Arabidopsis thaliana: one gene and its partner. The protein of the gene in region 1 interacts with the protein of each later gene in a pairwise test. Each region holds a gene or a part of one and is shown on either strand. Other genes may lie near its edges. The genes, in order: AT2G23200 and ABCB25.

Region 1 (4,919 bases):
TTAAAAAACAGAGGAGTTCCATTTCTATGGGTGATACGGCCAAAGGAGAAGGCCGAAAACGTTGACGTTTTGGAAGATATGGTTGAAGAAGGTCAAGGAGTTGTTATTGAATGGGGTCAACAAGAGAAGATACTATGCCATATGGCGATCTCTTGTTTTGTCACTCATTGTGGATGGAACTCGACGATCGAGACGGTGGTGAGTGGTGTTCCGATGGTGGCGTATCCGACTTGGTTTGATCAGCCGCTTGACGCGAGATTGCTTGTTGATGTGTTTGGAATCGGAGTACGGATGAAGAACGATGTCGTCGATGGAGAGCTTAAGGTTGCTGAGGTGGAGAGATGCATTGACGCCGTGACAAAGGGTACCGACGCTGCGGATATGAGGAGGAGAGCGGCGGAGTTGAAGCAAGCGACGAGATCGGCGATGGCGCCTGGTGGATCCCTCGCTCGTAATTTGGACTTGTTCATCAACGACATCAAAATCGTTAAAAATGATGTAATTTTAACACCAAAATAGTGTTTAGCCTTCGAAATACCCTATAGACGGACTGTGATTATCTATTAACCGGAAATAACCGGATATTAAATTTTGAAATTGAACCAGATACTGCTAGAAACTTCACATTTCGAAAAAATTATAATTTTACACACAATTGCGAAAGATTTCATCATCTTGCATCAGAGATCTTCAACTGCGAAAAAACTCGAGTCTCCGATGAATCTGTAAATCCAAATCTGTTCTTCGATTCATCACCATTCTGAAATATCGAGTTCGTACTAAACGAATCACTCACCATCAACCTCGGAGCAACCAACGAACCACCGGAATTAATCGCCGTACTATCTTCTTCATGAGCCTCTCGACGATTCGTCATCATCTGTAGCTGAAGAACATACTCAAGATCCCAAATCACATCCCTCATACTCGGTCTCTCATCTCCATACTCTTTCAAACATTTCTCAGCAATTTCCATGAATTTCTTCAACGAATTCGTCTCAATTTGACCTATCAAACTCGGATCTAAGATCTCATCGATTGTACCTTTTGATTTGCAGAACATCACCCATTCCGATAGATTCACTTCTTCGTGAGGAAGATAAGGATCTATAGCTGGTCTCGCGAACAGTACCTCGAGGAGGACGACTCCGAATGCGTAAACATCTGATTTCTCTGTTAATTTATGTGTTTGGAGATATTCTGGATCCAAGTAACCGAATGTTCCTTTGATGTTTATGCTGATATTGCTTTCATCTTGATTATGAATTTTCGATAATCCGAAATCTGCGACTTTTGCTATATTGTGCTCGTCTAGTAATATGTTTGTTGATTTGACGTCTCTGTGAATGATTGCTCCTTCTGAGCCACTACTGTGGAGATAATCTAAACCTCTAGCTGCTCCAATGCATATCTCTAGTCTTTGTTTCCATGTTAATGAAGGTAGATTCGAGCCGTATAGATGTTCTTTGAGTGTACCTTTCTCCATAAACTCGTAGACGAGGATCATTTCGGAGTTTTCTTCGCAGTATCCCGTTAGCGAGACGAGGTGTCTATGTCGGATTCTTGAGAGGACTTGAATCTCGGTTTGAAACTCTAAGATCCCTTGTCCTGAGCCGGTTTTGCCTCGTTTGATAGCGGCTTTGGTTCCATCGGGAAGAATAGCTTTGTAAACGTAGCCAAACCCGCCTTTCCCGATCAACAACTGCTCGTCGAAGTTGTTTGTAGCGCTTAGAATGTCTGTGAAGGGAATCGTTAAGCCTAAGTGTAGGTTGCGTAATGGGGAGTTGTGGTATTGAGAGATAGGTCTATTGTCTGAACTCCCACCTCTGTGCAATGGCAAAGGAGACCATACAGTGCCCTCAACCTCTGGCTTAGTCTTCTTCGATCTCCTCCGCTTCAAGAATACCATAAACAGCAAACTGAAGACCAAAGCTGATGCAGCAGCAGCAGCAACAGCACAACCAGTGATGATGTGAACCCGGGAACTGCTTCTATTTGAATAATCAGAACCAGATTTACTCAAAACCTCCATCATCTCCAGACCATTCAGAAAACCAGCATCCTTATTGGCCTCCTTGGTACCTATACTGATATTCAAGAGTCCAGAACCATCAGAGACATTCACGACATCCTTAAAAAACGGACTCGCCAACCTAGGCTGCTCTGAAGGCTTTACATCTACTCGCCAATACCCATTTACAAAGAGATAGAAATCGGAGTCGGAGTTTGATAAGTTGCTCAAAATATCAGAAAAATGAATCCTGATGAAGTGTCTATGGTTACTTTTGACCTTGAACGACCATGTAACATTCATCAACATCCCCACCTGCTCATTCGAGCTACGGTTCATTGCTTTAGCTGTCTTGTAGACGAAATCAGGAGCAGTGGAGTCCGTGGCTGAACTTAACCCTCCCACGTAGTTAGGCGTTTGTGTTGAATTAATGTTCCTCGCTGAATCTTTTCGGTAGAGAAAGTCATCATCGTCAGGCAGCCAAGTTCGTCCCAAGGTATCATTATCCGGAGTGATTTTCTCGCCTCCTACGTTTAATCTGTAAATCGTATGCAGATTCTTATCGGAAGCTGATGGGATTTCGAGGTCATCAGGAGCAGAGAACACTTCGATGGCATTGATGAGAGCTAAAGAGGAATGATCGGGCACAAATCGAATTTCGAACTCCAGCGAGTTCATCATCAGGAGAAACTCTTCAACTCGTGGGGTATTAGTGAGATTCTGAGGCGAGAAACTTTTCAAGTGATGATTAGAACCAGAGGTAGCAGAGACAGTGAACCGAGCAGTTAAAAGATCTGCCCGAGAAAACACAACAGAGAAATGGAGACGCACAAAGTGCAGACCCAGAGAATCAAGTTTGAACTTGTAAGAAGAAGGGTGTCTAAATATCCTAACCGTCCGGTATATTTCAGGCGCAACGGACGATTGGTCGTTGATGACTTCAGTTCCTTTGTTGGTGAAGGAAACTGAGTTAGTACTCGAGTTGGTATCTCCGACGAAGGTCTGGCCACCATAAAATACATTAGAATCCGATCCACAGTTGACGTAAAAATTCTCAGGACGGGTGTACGTCGAAGTATCAGAAAGACTGAGACGGGGGAGAAGAACAAGAACCATGATCGTGATAAATAGAGAAACAGAGTCTTGAAAACAGAAATTCTCCATAGCTTTGATGCAGAGAAGGAGAAAGAGAGAAAGTCAAGTCTTTGAGGTCAATGGATGAAAAAACATGTGTGGTCTATGTGAAGACTGGATTGAGGAAGAAGATGAGATTGAAGGAGAAATAGAGAATTGAAATTATTGGTGGAACAAAAAGAAAGAAGACTGGAGTTGACTTTTGAAGTCATCGTCTTTTGTCCCGTGAGAAACAATCACTCTCTAATCTTTTTACCTTTGGCTCCCCAACACTGACCTAGTAAACGGTCAGTCTATACTATTAGATTTTTTGACATGATAAGTTTTTTTACTACATATTTTATTCCCAAGTCAAGGAAAGAAGAGTTACACTTCAAGCAAAAGCATCGAGAAACTTATGGACAATGGGACGAGCTTTACACATGGCTAGCAACGGTGTCGCAGGACGCATCATGGCCATAGGTTCTTCTCTAGTGTCTACATATTCTTCACCAATTCTCTGCCATTCGAAACACTGAACCATCGATCCAAGAGCCAAGCTCATTAACCGATGAGCTAGGCCAACCCCGGGACAAGCTCGTCGTCCAAACCCAAACGACAACAACTTCTGATTAAGCTTTTCATTTTTGAACCTCTCTGGCTTGAACATTTCTGGGGCTTCCCATATAGACGGGTCTCTATGCATGGACCATACGTTCACCAATAACATCGACCCACGTGGAACGTCGTATCCTGCCAATATGCAATCATCTGACGTCATGTGTGGAATATTTGTTGGAGCTACCGGGTAAAGACGTAAGGTCTCCAACACAATCCATTGGAGATAAGGCAGATTTTTAGTATCAGCTTCATCCATTAACCGGTCAAAACCGACTTCGGTATCGATTTCGGTCCTCGCTTTCTCTAATACTTCTGGATGGTTCAACAAATTAAGCATCGCCCATTCTAAAGTCCCTGCTAATGTTTCAGTCCCGGCAAGTATCATAACCTGTAAACTTAAAATCAATAATAAGCTATCATAAAGTTTGATTAGTGTTGTTACATATAGTATATGAATTCCTCAAACTTACAATTATGATTCCTTTAAGAGTGACATCTGTATAGTAATCAGGCTGAGTTTCTTGGAGAGAAAGCAAGTGATCCATCATAGTGTTACCCTTTTGTTTATGCACACGTCTCTCATCCACCAGACTCTGCAAAAACTCATCGACCCGACTCGCCAACTCCTTGACCCCTTTCTCAAAATCTGTGATCCAACGCAAAATCGGTATATAATCGGCTGCATTCCCAACGCCAGCCCTGTACACAATCTCGTCAATCAGTTGTGTCACTCGCCGCGCAACTTCATCTTGTTCTGTCCCCTCTCCATAAAATCGTTTCCCAGCCACCATTCGAAGAATGTTGTTGATAGTCAAATCATAAAACAATTGTCTCATCTCAACCTTTGCAAAACCCTGATTTTAATTATAATCACATAAACAAATGATTAATCCTCAAACTTTCAAAATCATACTTCACAATCTTCATTTGGTATAGAATATTTTTGGCGTCTACAATCTACATTTTGCACATGCACATGGCCAAGTATAAACCTATATAATGAAACAGTGACGGCACTATCACAAATCAATAGGTTATAATATTTTCTGGCTAAGTAAAATGTTTTGATATGTAGAAGAAGCTCACATACATGTTGCGAGTTTTTTGAGAGGCGCAATAACAAGTGTCGGATCTCATCTTTACGGACAGATAAAAAGCCGTTGAGCTTGTGTGA
Region 2 (7,841 bases), on another chromosome or scaffold:
TGAGCGTGAATTAGTGCAAGACTTCTGGCTTGTCATTGAGCCTAAATTCCTTGACAATTTCCCCAAAATTACTCAAAGACTTCGTCGTCCTGCTGTTGCTCTTGTTTCCACCAATGGCACCTGGATCACGTTAGAACCCTAATCCCAATCTCTCTCTTTTCAAAATTACGTTCCTCACTCCCTCCTTATCTAACGCATTTGTGTTTTGCAATTTGTTGTTTTATGGCAGGTTTATGAAGTTAAGATTGGATCGTGTTCTGTATGATTCCTTTGAAGCTACCTCTCTTGATGAAGCTTTGGCCTCCAATCCTACCACTCTTGAGTTCGATAAGCCTAAAAATTGGGTGGCGCCATACCCCAAGTATGAACCTGGATGGTGGGATACCTTCTTGCCTAAAGTAACCCAAGAATCTGCAGTATAGAACTTTGCTTTTTGTCTTGTTTTTGCATTCTCCAATCTCAGCTTTGTCTTAGTGCTTCAAAGTTTTGTACTACTGAGCTCATTATCCAAGTCTATATCTTTCCTAGTGTAGCTTCTATTACTCAAAGTTGCCTGTTTGATACGTCACTGACTCAAGGTTAAGCATAGAACTAGACAACAAAAAGCATCCTCACATTTAGCTCCATCAAAGTCTTAAGGGTGACCATATTTGTTGATTTCTCACGAGAATATTGGCAAGAACCTTCAGTTAAAGCTCTAGGTATTAAGTTGTCTAGTCACAGGAGGGCAATATGCCTACTCGCTGAAGAACTTTGCAAAAGATCTGAATTTTTTGGTTTTCAAAACGATTTGTGGACTCGGAACATGTTGTTACTCGTTAGGTCTAGTGACTGGAGTTGATCAAAGTAAGTTGCACATGTTTCTGCTGAATCAAGTGTTCTATGTTGTACTTCTGGATTGCTCTGTAGTCTGTATCTAAGCGTGTCCTATCAATCTTACTGATTATACATACTTTTATTTGTGACAAAGCAGAGTCAGAAATTATCTTTAACTACTCCATGGGAATATACTACCAAGTTACAAATACAGATTTTAACTTTTACTATGGGATGAGTATTGCTACACTTGCGGGAGATGCATTCATGAAAAACTATACACTGGTAGCTCCACTTGTGCCATTAAGTTACTCTTGTGCAGCTAGATTTGCAATTTCTGCTAGAGGCTTCCACACGAACTTTCTCCTGCAGGGGAATTGGTAATGGTCATGCAAATTGCAAACATAGATGATTAGTGTGTATGGTAAGGAATGATATACTCACCAGTTGCCACATTCAGCAATAACCCTGACGTTAGGACGAAGAGAGGGAAGTAAAGCGAGAAATTGAAGCTCCGATTTTGAGAGGACCTGAGTGAAATGGAAATATGAGAAAGAGCATGTGGGAGAACAGATCAAATGAGAGAAACTCAAACCTTTGCTTCGAGGACCCATACAACAAGACCCTTGGCACTAGGGGGAAGAGCAGCGAGCCTGTAATCAACTTCTGGTGGATAATACCATCTTGCTATAGGTTGTTTCCCAAGATGAGCCTAAAAGAAGAGAAGATACATGGTTCACACAAAATTATATTGAAACAAGATTAAAGTAGAAGATGGATGAAAGTAGACATACAGGGCAAACAGGGTAGTTCTTGAGAAGGGTAGTCTCAGGGTCACCAAGGCCACGAGCAGAGATGTCAAGAAAGTAGTAGCCCTGCATTTTGAGACGGTTAAGATAACGACCTTCGTAACCACCCTCATGAGGAGCGTAAATGGCGATTGCCTTGTGTTCTTCCACGTCTTGAAGCCATTGTCCGATGTCCGGCTTCACCAAGTCACCTCCGATGTAGTCAGCTATGCTGCTACATTTCACACCAGTGCTTCTTCTTCTCTTACTCCTAGTATTCACCAAAAAGGAACCAACTGTTTTGATCTTCTTCACTTGCGAGGCTTCAAAACACGGTGGTGCCACACGTTGTATACATATTGCACGGCTTCCCATTTCTTTACTAACAATGACTTCTTGTGGAAGTAGCTCATAATAAACATTGCTTGACGACGATGATGATGAAAGAATGGTGGAGAAACGACGACTCACTCCACAAAGGGATAGACATTAATGGGCTTAAAATGTATTGGGCTTTATTTATTAGGCCCATTAAGCACCGCCGAACGTCGTGACATTGTTAGCTAGCTCGCCGGAGCAAAATTCAGTCTGTGAAACTTTCGGAGAAGAAGGGATGTCGAGAGGATCTCGATTCGTTAGGGCTCCTGGGCTCTTACTCTGTCGCGTTAATCTTCAACCTCAACCCAAAATCCCATCTTTTTCCTACAGTCTTCGCTCTGATTATCGTCTTCATAATGGTTTCTCCAATTACATCAGACGTAACTCAATTCGAACATCTCCGGTTATCAATGCCTTCCTCTCAGATAACTCACCATCCCCGTCACCATCACCATCCCCAATTCGTTTTGTTCAACGGAGTTCAATGCTTAATGGTCGTCTCTTCTCGACTTCTACTCCCAATCCAGACCAAACCACCACCAAGACTAAGGAAATCAAGACAACCTCGTCGGATTCAGACTCAGCTATGGCTGACATGAAGATTCTCCGTACGCTTGCTGGCTATTTGTGGATGAGAGACAATCCAGAATTCCGTTTCAGGGTCATCGCTGCTTTGGGTTTTCTCGTGGGTGCTAAGGTCTTGAATGTCCAAGTCCCTTTCCTCTTCAAATTAGCTGTTGATTGGCTTGCTTCAGCTACCGGTACTGGAGCCTCACTTACCACCTTCGCTGCTACAAACCCAACTCTTCTTACTGTTTTTGCTACTCCTGCTGCTGTTCTCATTGGATACGGGATTGCTCGGACGGGTTCTTCTGCTTTTAATGGTAACTCTCAATAGCTCTAGTTTTCTTTAAAAAAGAATGCACTTTTCACTCTTGGTTGTTACTTTTCATCATCGCAGAACTTCGTACTGCTGTGTTCTCTAAGGTAGCTCTCCGAACAATACGATCTGTTTCTAGAAAGGTATGCTGCTGCTGCTCTAAACTATCTTGTCGATAGAGATATTTTAATGTATGAATCAATTTCATATGGTCGCTTTGCAGGTGTTCTCACATTTACATGATCTTGACCTTCGTTACCACCTAAGGTATCTATCTCTCCTCTCTTACTCTTGTGAGTAGTCTCGCTCATTCCATCTTAGATTCATCTCATCATAACTTCCTTACTTAATTGCTTATGTCCAGTCGAGAAACAGGCGGCTTGAACAGGATTATTGATCGTGGTAGCCGTGCAATAAATTTTATCCTCTCAGCTATGGTTTTCAATGTTGTTCCTACCATATTGGAGGTAAAGCTTGTCTGACCACTTGGTGCTTTCTCATGATCATTGTTTTTTTTCTCATTTTGAATAATTGGCAGTTGCTCATTCATATTTGGATTTCACTATTCATTCGTCTCTAAAAACACTCGACGTAATTAATATGTATCTTTCAGATATCTATGGTATCAGGTATACTGGCATACAAGTTTGGAGCTGCTTTTGCCTGGATTACTTCTCTCTCCGTTGGATCATATATCGTTTTCACATTAGCTGTGACACAGGTACTGTGCCTTTTTCGGTATTCTCTTTTCAATGCCAACTATAATGCAATACTTGCGTTATTATCATGATAATCCAGCAATAACTGTGATATTTTATTTAAGAAACTACTATAGTATACATTGTTCTGGAATTCGTTACTAAGCTTCTCTAATCTTAACTGTATCAACTCTTTGGATCGGCTTAAATCATTCTAGTTGTGATATTAGGTTTGATGATGTATAGAAGGATAGTTGTCTTCATACATTCTCTTCAACTTTCATTATCTTGTTACAAATCTTTTTGGTGTCAAACGCTTTGCTCACGGTTTTATTTATTTTATCCAGTGGCGAACCAAGTTTAGAAAGGCTATGAACAAAGCTGATAATGATGCTAGCACAAGGGCCATTGATTCTCTGATAAATTATGAGGTAAATTTTTAATCTTAATCATTTTGCTTGACTTGCAGTTTTGACAGAATTTCTTTTTCGTTTCAGACTGTCAAATATTTTAACAATGAAGGTTATGAGGCTGAAAAGTATGACCAGTTCCTGAAAAGTAAGTAACTCTACTAGCTGTTTAGATGAAAACATTTATCTTAATTTCCAAAAAAAAAGAGAAAATTCTCCAGTTTTAGTTTGAGCAAGAATAGTAGCAACAAGCCAACAAGTAACAAATGTAGATCAGAAAATGCGCTGATGACTCTTTTTACATCTTTATTTACACGTTCTTTTTCTAGGAAGAAAACCGATTGATATTTTACCATAATATATTATTGCTCCGTCCATTTACCTTAATTTATCTTGTGACGATTCTGCTGCTTATCCCAGAATATGAAGATGCTGCCCTGCAAACTCAAAGAAGTCTTGCTTTCTTAAACTTTGGACAAAGTATCATATTTAGTACAGCTTTATCAACAGCAATGGTGTTGTGCTCTCAGGGTATCATGAATGGCCAGATGACAGTCGGTGATTTGGTCAGTGCGTCCTTTGATTTTTCCTTGACATTGGTATTTTATGTTTCTCTGCATTTTTTATCCAAATTGTTTTCTAATAAGCTTTTGCATATTTGGGTGATGCAGGTTATGGTGAATGGACTTCTCTTTCAGCTGTCTCTTCCTCTAAATTTTTTGGGTAGTGTTTACCGTGAAACAATTCAGAGCCTTGTGGACATGAAATCAATGTTCCAGTTGCTAGAGGTATGTGAGGATGTTATAATTGTTTCTTTAAACTCTGCATTTGGTTAAGTTTCTTAAACACTTTTTTTTTTATGATAATGCTTTAAATGCATGCTTTTTAGTATGCACTCCTGGCATGTTGAATTGATTATGTGGTATTCTCTTACTGTTTCAGGAGAAATCTGACATCACAAATACAAGTGACGCAAAGCCTCTTGTACTGAAAGGTGGAAACATTGAGTTTGAAAATGTACACTTCAGGTAGGTGTTGATTTTAGTGGAACATTACTGTCATACTAATCGTTGGAGCCATAGTATCTTGGGTATGAAAGTGTGTTAAGATTAATATGAGTAATTAACTCAAATTTTATTTAACTTATGAACTCAATACACCCCAGAAAGTCTTTACTAATTAGCTTTGTTGAGCTTATCAAAGTGGCAAATTATAAGACATTGCATGATTTGGATATCAGCTTCATGTTGTGGCTGAAGACGAAGGGGGTTAATAACTTATGTCTATTGCCACATCATCTTTCTCTTTTTCTACAATTACAGTTACCTTCCAGAGAGAAAAATATTAGATGGAATTTCCTTTGTCGTACCGGCAGGAAAAAGTGTGGCAATCGTTGGTACTAGCGGGAGCGGTAATTCCTAAACCTCTTCTGTTTAAGCATCTAAGTTCTGTGTAAATTTGTTATTCTGGTATACTGTTGCAAATCTTATTATTTGTTCTATGGCAGGCAAGTCAACAATTCTTAGGATGCTATTCAGATTCTTCGACACAGATTCCGGAAATGTAAGCATTTTTTTTGTTTGTGAAATGTGGGGTCTTGTTTGGAAGCATTGTAGCAACGAAAGTACACCCTGCTGCAGAGAAATTTAGTGAAGAAAATGCTTGGTATCTAGATAACATCTTTTTTGTCATGTTGGTTAACAGATAAGGATTGACGGGCAAGATATAAAGGAAGTGAGACTAGATAGCCTCCGAAGCTCCATAGGAGTTGTGCCGCAAGATACTGTAAGTTGGCATTTCTCTACTTCTCATCGTGAGGCTTTTTGTTATATACACCACTATGACCTGCATTCATTTGTTTCTCGCCTTTCTTCTCATTGTAACTTCTCTGGTCATGCTAGACACTTGATTTTTTTTATGTTTTTTTTCACTTTTCTTCTCTTTTATTTTTCATATGTATCATTGTTAGCTTTTGTGAAGGTATAGCACTCCAAGTTTTGTTGTTCTCAAGGGTAATCTCTACTGCACTGCAGGTTCTCTTCAATGACACAATATTTCACAACATACATTATGGACGTCTCTCAGCTACAGAAGAAGAGGTACCAGTCAACTTATACTTGGTGGAAATGTCAAGTTTAATATCAATAATCCTCATCTAACATAAATTTTCAATCCAGGTGTATGAGGCTGCTCGGCGTGCTGCAATTCATGAAACAATCAGTAATTTCCCTGATAAATATTCCACGATCGTTGGGGAAAGGGGGCTCAAGGTCAGTATTTTGATGTTATATCTGGAATGCATGATTGAGTTATGGGGAGTTAGTCACCCGTCGTTTTTGTCATTGTCATAATCAAAGTAAAACAAGCTAAGTCAATCAGGCTTCCAAGTCAAAGTTCACCTGTTGAAAACTTGATGAAGAATATGATCTAATAAACTAGTTTCGCAGGACTGTAACAATCATGAAAAATAAAAGATTTAACTGATTGAGGTTTTCTATATAATGGCAAAGAGTAGCATTGATGAGTGACCATCCTGAGTTTGAGTAGAGTCATATATTGATGGGGTTTTTGTATTGTGATAACCATGGAGTGGTGTTGTGTGCAGTTGAGTGGTGGAGAGAAACAAAGAGTGGCACTTGCTCGGACATTTTTGAAATCCCCTGCGATTCTGTAAGTAACTTTGCACAGAAGCAGCATTGAGTTTACTTATGTGATTATGTACGTGTCTAGTCCTCACATACATAGAGATGGTTGGTGTACACAGGTTGTGTGATGAGGCAACGAGTGCGCTGGACAGCACAACAGAGGCAGAGATACTGAACGCACTCAAGGCACTAGCGAGTAACAGGACATCTATCTTCATTGCCCACAGGCTGACCACTGCGATGCAATGTGACGAGGTTTGTAGTAAATAGTGTTTGTCAACTTAGCTCAAAGAAACAATGTTTTTGCATAACTGAAACTTTTGGTTGCGGGCAGATCGTAGTACTGGAAAACGGGAAGGTGGTGGAACAAGGCCCCCACGACGAGCTATTGGGAAAATCAGGGAGATATGCGCAGCTATGGACACAACAAAACAGCAGCGTGGATATGCTTGATGCAGCTATCAAATTGGAATAGTGAACCTCAGAGCCAAATGTGTAAAATTTATATTTATCTCATTGATTTTCTATGGAGCTTATATAGTTAATAGAGTCCCAAAGAACACAAAACAAAGGGAATAATAAATAGTGGTGAATGATATAATTTTAACACGAGTTTTTGTTGAGCAAGTAAACTTACGATAAAAAAATGATCAATTTTATTAGTTAAAGCCCAAATAGGCCCAACTAGTTATTAATTAATTAACAAGAAGAAGTCCGTGATTTCGAAATTCAAACGAAGCGCCATTTCTTTCTCCTCCTAGGAAACTCTGCAATGGCCATGGCCTATGAGGAAGCTCGCAAGCTCCGTCTTCAAGAGAATCACAAGCGATTTCAAGTTACCCTTCATCGTTACCGCGTTTCTTCTTCTCCTCCTTCTCTGATTCGTTTATCAATTTTGATTATTGAATCTCAGGATTTAGGAATTTCCCAGATTTCTAAGACTCTGACTCAGATTACAAAGAAAACGCCTCAGGTTTCGTGTTTTTTCCTTCCATTTCTGCTTCATTCCTAGTCCAATTTTGTAGCTTTACCACAATTTCAGCTTCTTCAGCAGCGTAATCACAAACCCATCGATAAAGCCCTCTTAGCTACTGCTGAACCAAGACGCTCTTCCCGTGTTCGTACCGTAATTTCTTCCTATCGCGATGATGTAATTTTCCCAGCTTTCTCTTACTTCTGTAATAGATTTTTCACAGCAATCAATCAACCCAATCCCTTGTCTCTTT

Evidence for each region.
Region 2: the proteins of AT2G23200 (region 1) and ABCB25 interact in a protein complementation assay, tested with the Arabidopsis thaliana proteins (one large-scale study listed by BioGRID).

What each region holds. Positions count from the first base shown.
Region 1 is NC_003071.7:9,877,607-9,882,525, reverse strand, and holds AT2G23200 (Protein kinase superfamily protein), read right to left. Parts: upstream 3,252-4,919; 5' UTR 3,176-3,251; coding exon 671-3,175; 3' UTR 602-670; downstream 1-601. Other genes in the region: CYP81D7 (cytochrome P450, family 81, subfamily D, polypeptide 7), read right to left, coding at 3,519-4,133, 4,216-4,599, 4,836-4,919.
Region 2 is NC_003076.8:23,559,951-23,567,791, forward strand, and holds ABCB25 (ABC transporter of the mitochondrion 3), read left to right. Parts: upstream 1-1,979; 5' UTR 1,980-2,217; coding exon 2,218-2,866; intron 2,867-2,943; coding exon 2,944-3,005; intron 3,006-3,085; coding exon 3,086-3,129; intron 3,130-3,226; coding exon 3,227-3,329; intron 3,330-3,475; coding exon 3,476-3,583; intron 3,584-3,907; coding exon 3,908-3,991; intron 3,992-4,057; coding exon 4,058-4,118; intron 4,119-4,390; coding exon 4,391-4,536; intron 4,537-4,641; coding exon 4,642-4,758; intron 4,759-4,912; coding exon 4,913-4,998; intron 4,999-5,292; coding exon 5,293-5,381; intron 5,382-5,477; coding exon 5,478-5,533; intron 5,534-5,674; coding exon 5,675-5,755; intron 5,756-6,003; coding exon 6,004-6,069; intron 6,070-6,147; coding exon 6,148-6,240; intron 6,241-6,575; coding exon 6,576-6,640; intron 6,641-6,734; coding exon 6,735-6,870; intron 6,871-6,949; coding exon 6,950-7,090; 3' UTR 7,091-7,294; downstream 7,295-7,841. Other genes in the region: EMB3143 (YCF54), read left to right, coding at 1-129, 230-422; NdhN (oxidoreductases, acting on NADH or NADPH, quinone or similar compound as acceptor), read right to left, coding at 1,125-1,182, 1,261-1,346, 1,412-1,528, 1,611-1,979; AT5G58280 (AP2/B3-like transcriptional factor family protein), read left to right, coding at 7,388-7,588, 7,667-7,765. UniProt on the Arabidopsis thaliana protein: Performs an essential function in the generation of cytoplasmic iron-sulfur proteins by mediating export of Fe/S cluster precursors synthesized by NFS1 and other mitochondrial proteins. Not required for mitochondrial and plastid Fe-S enzymes.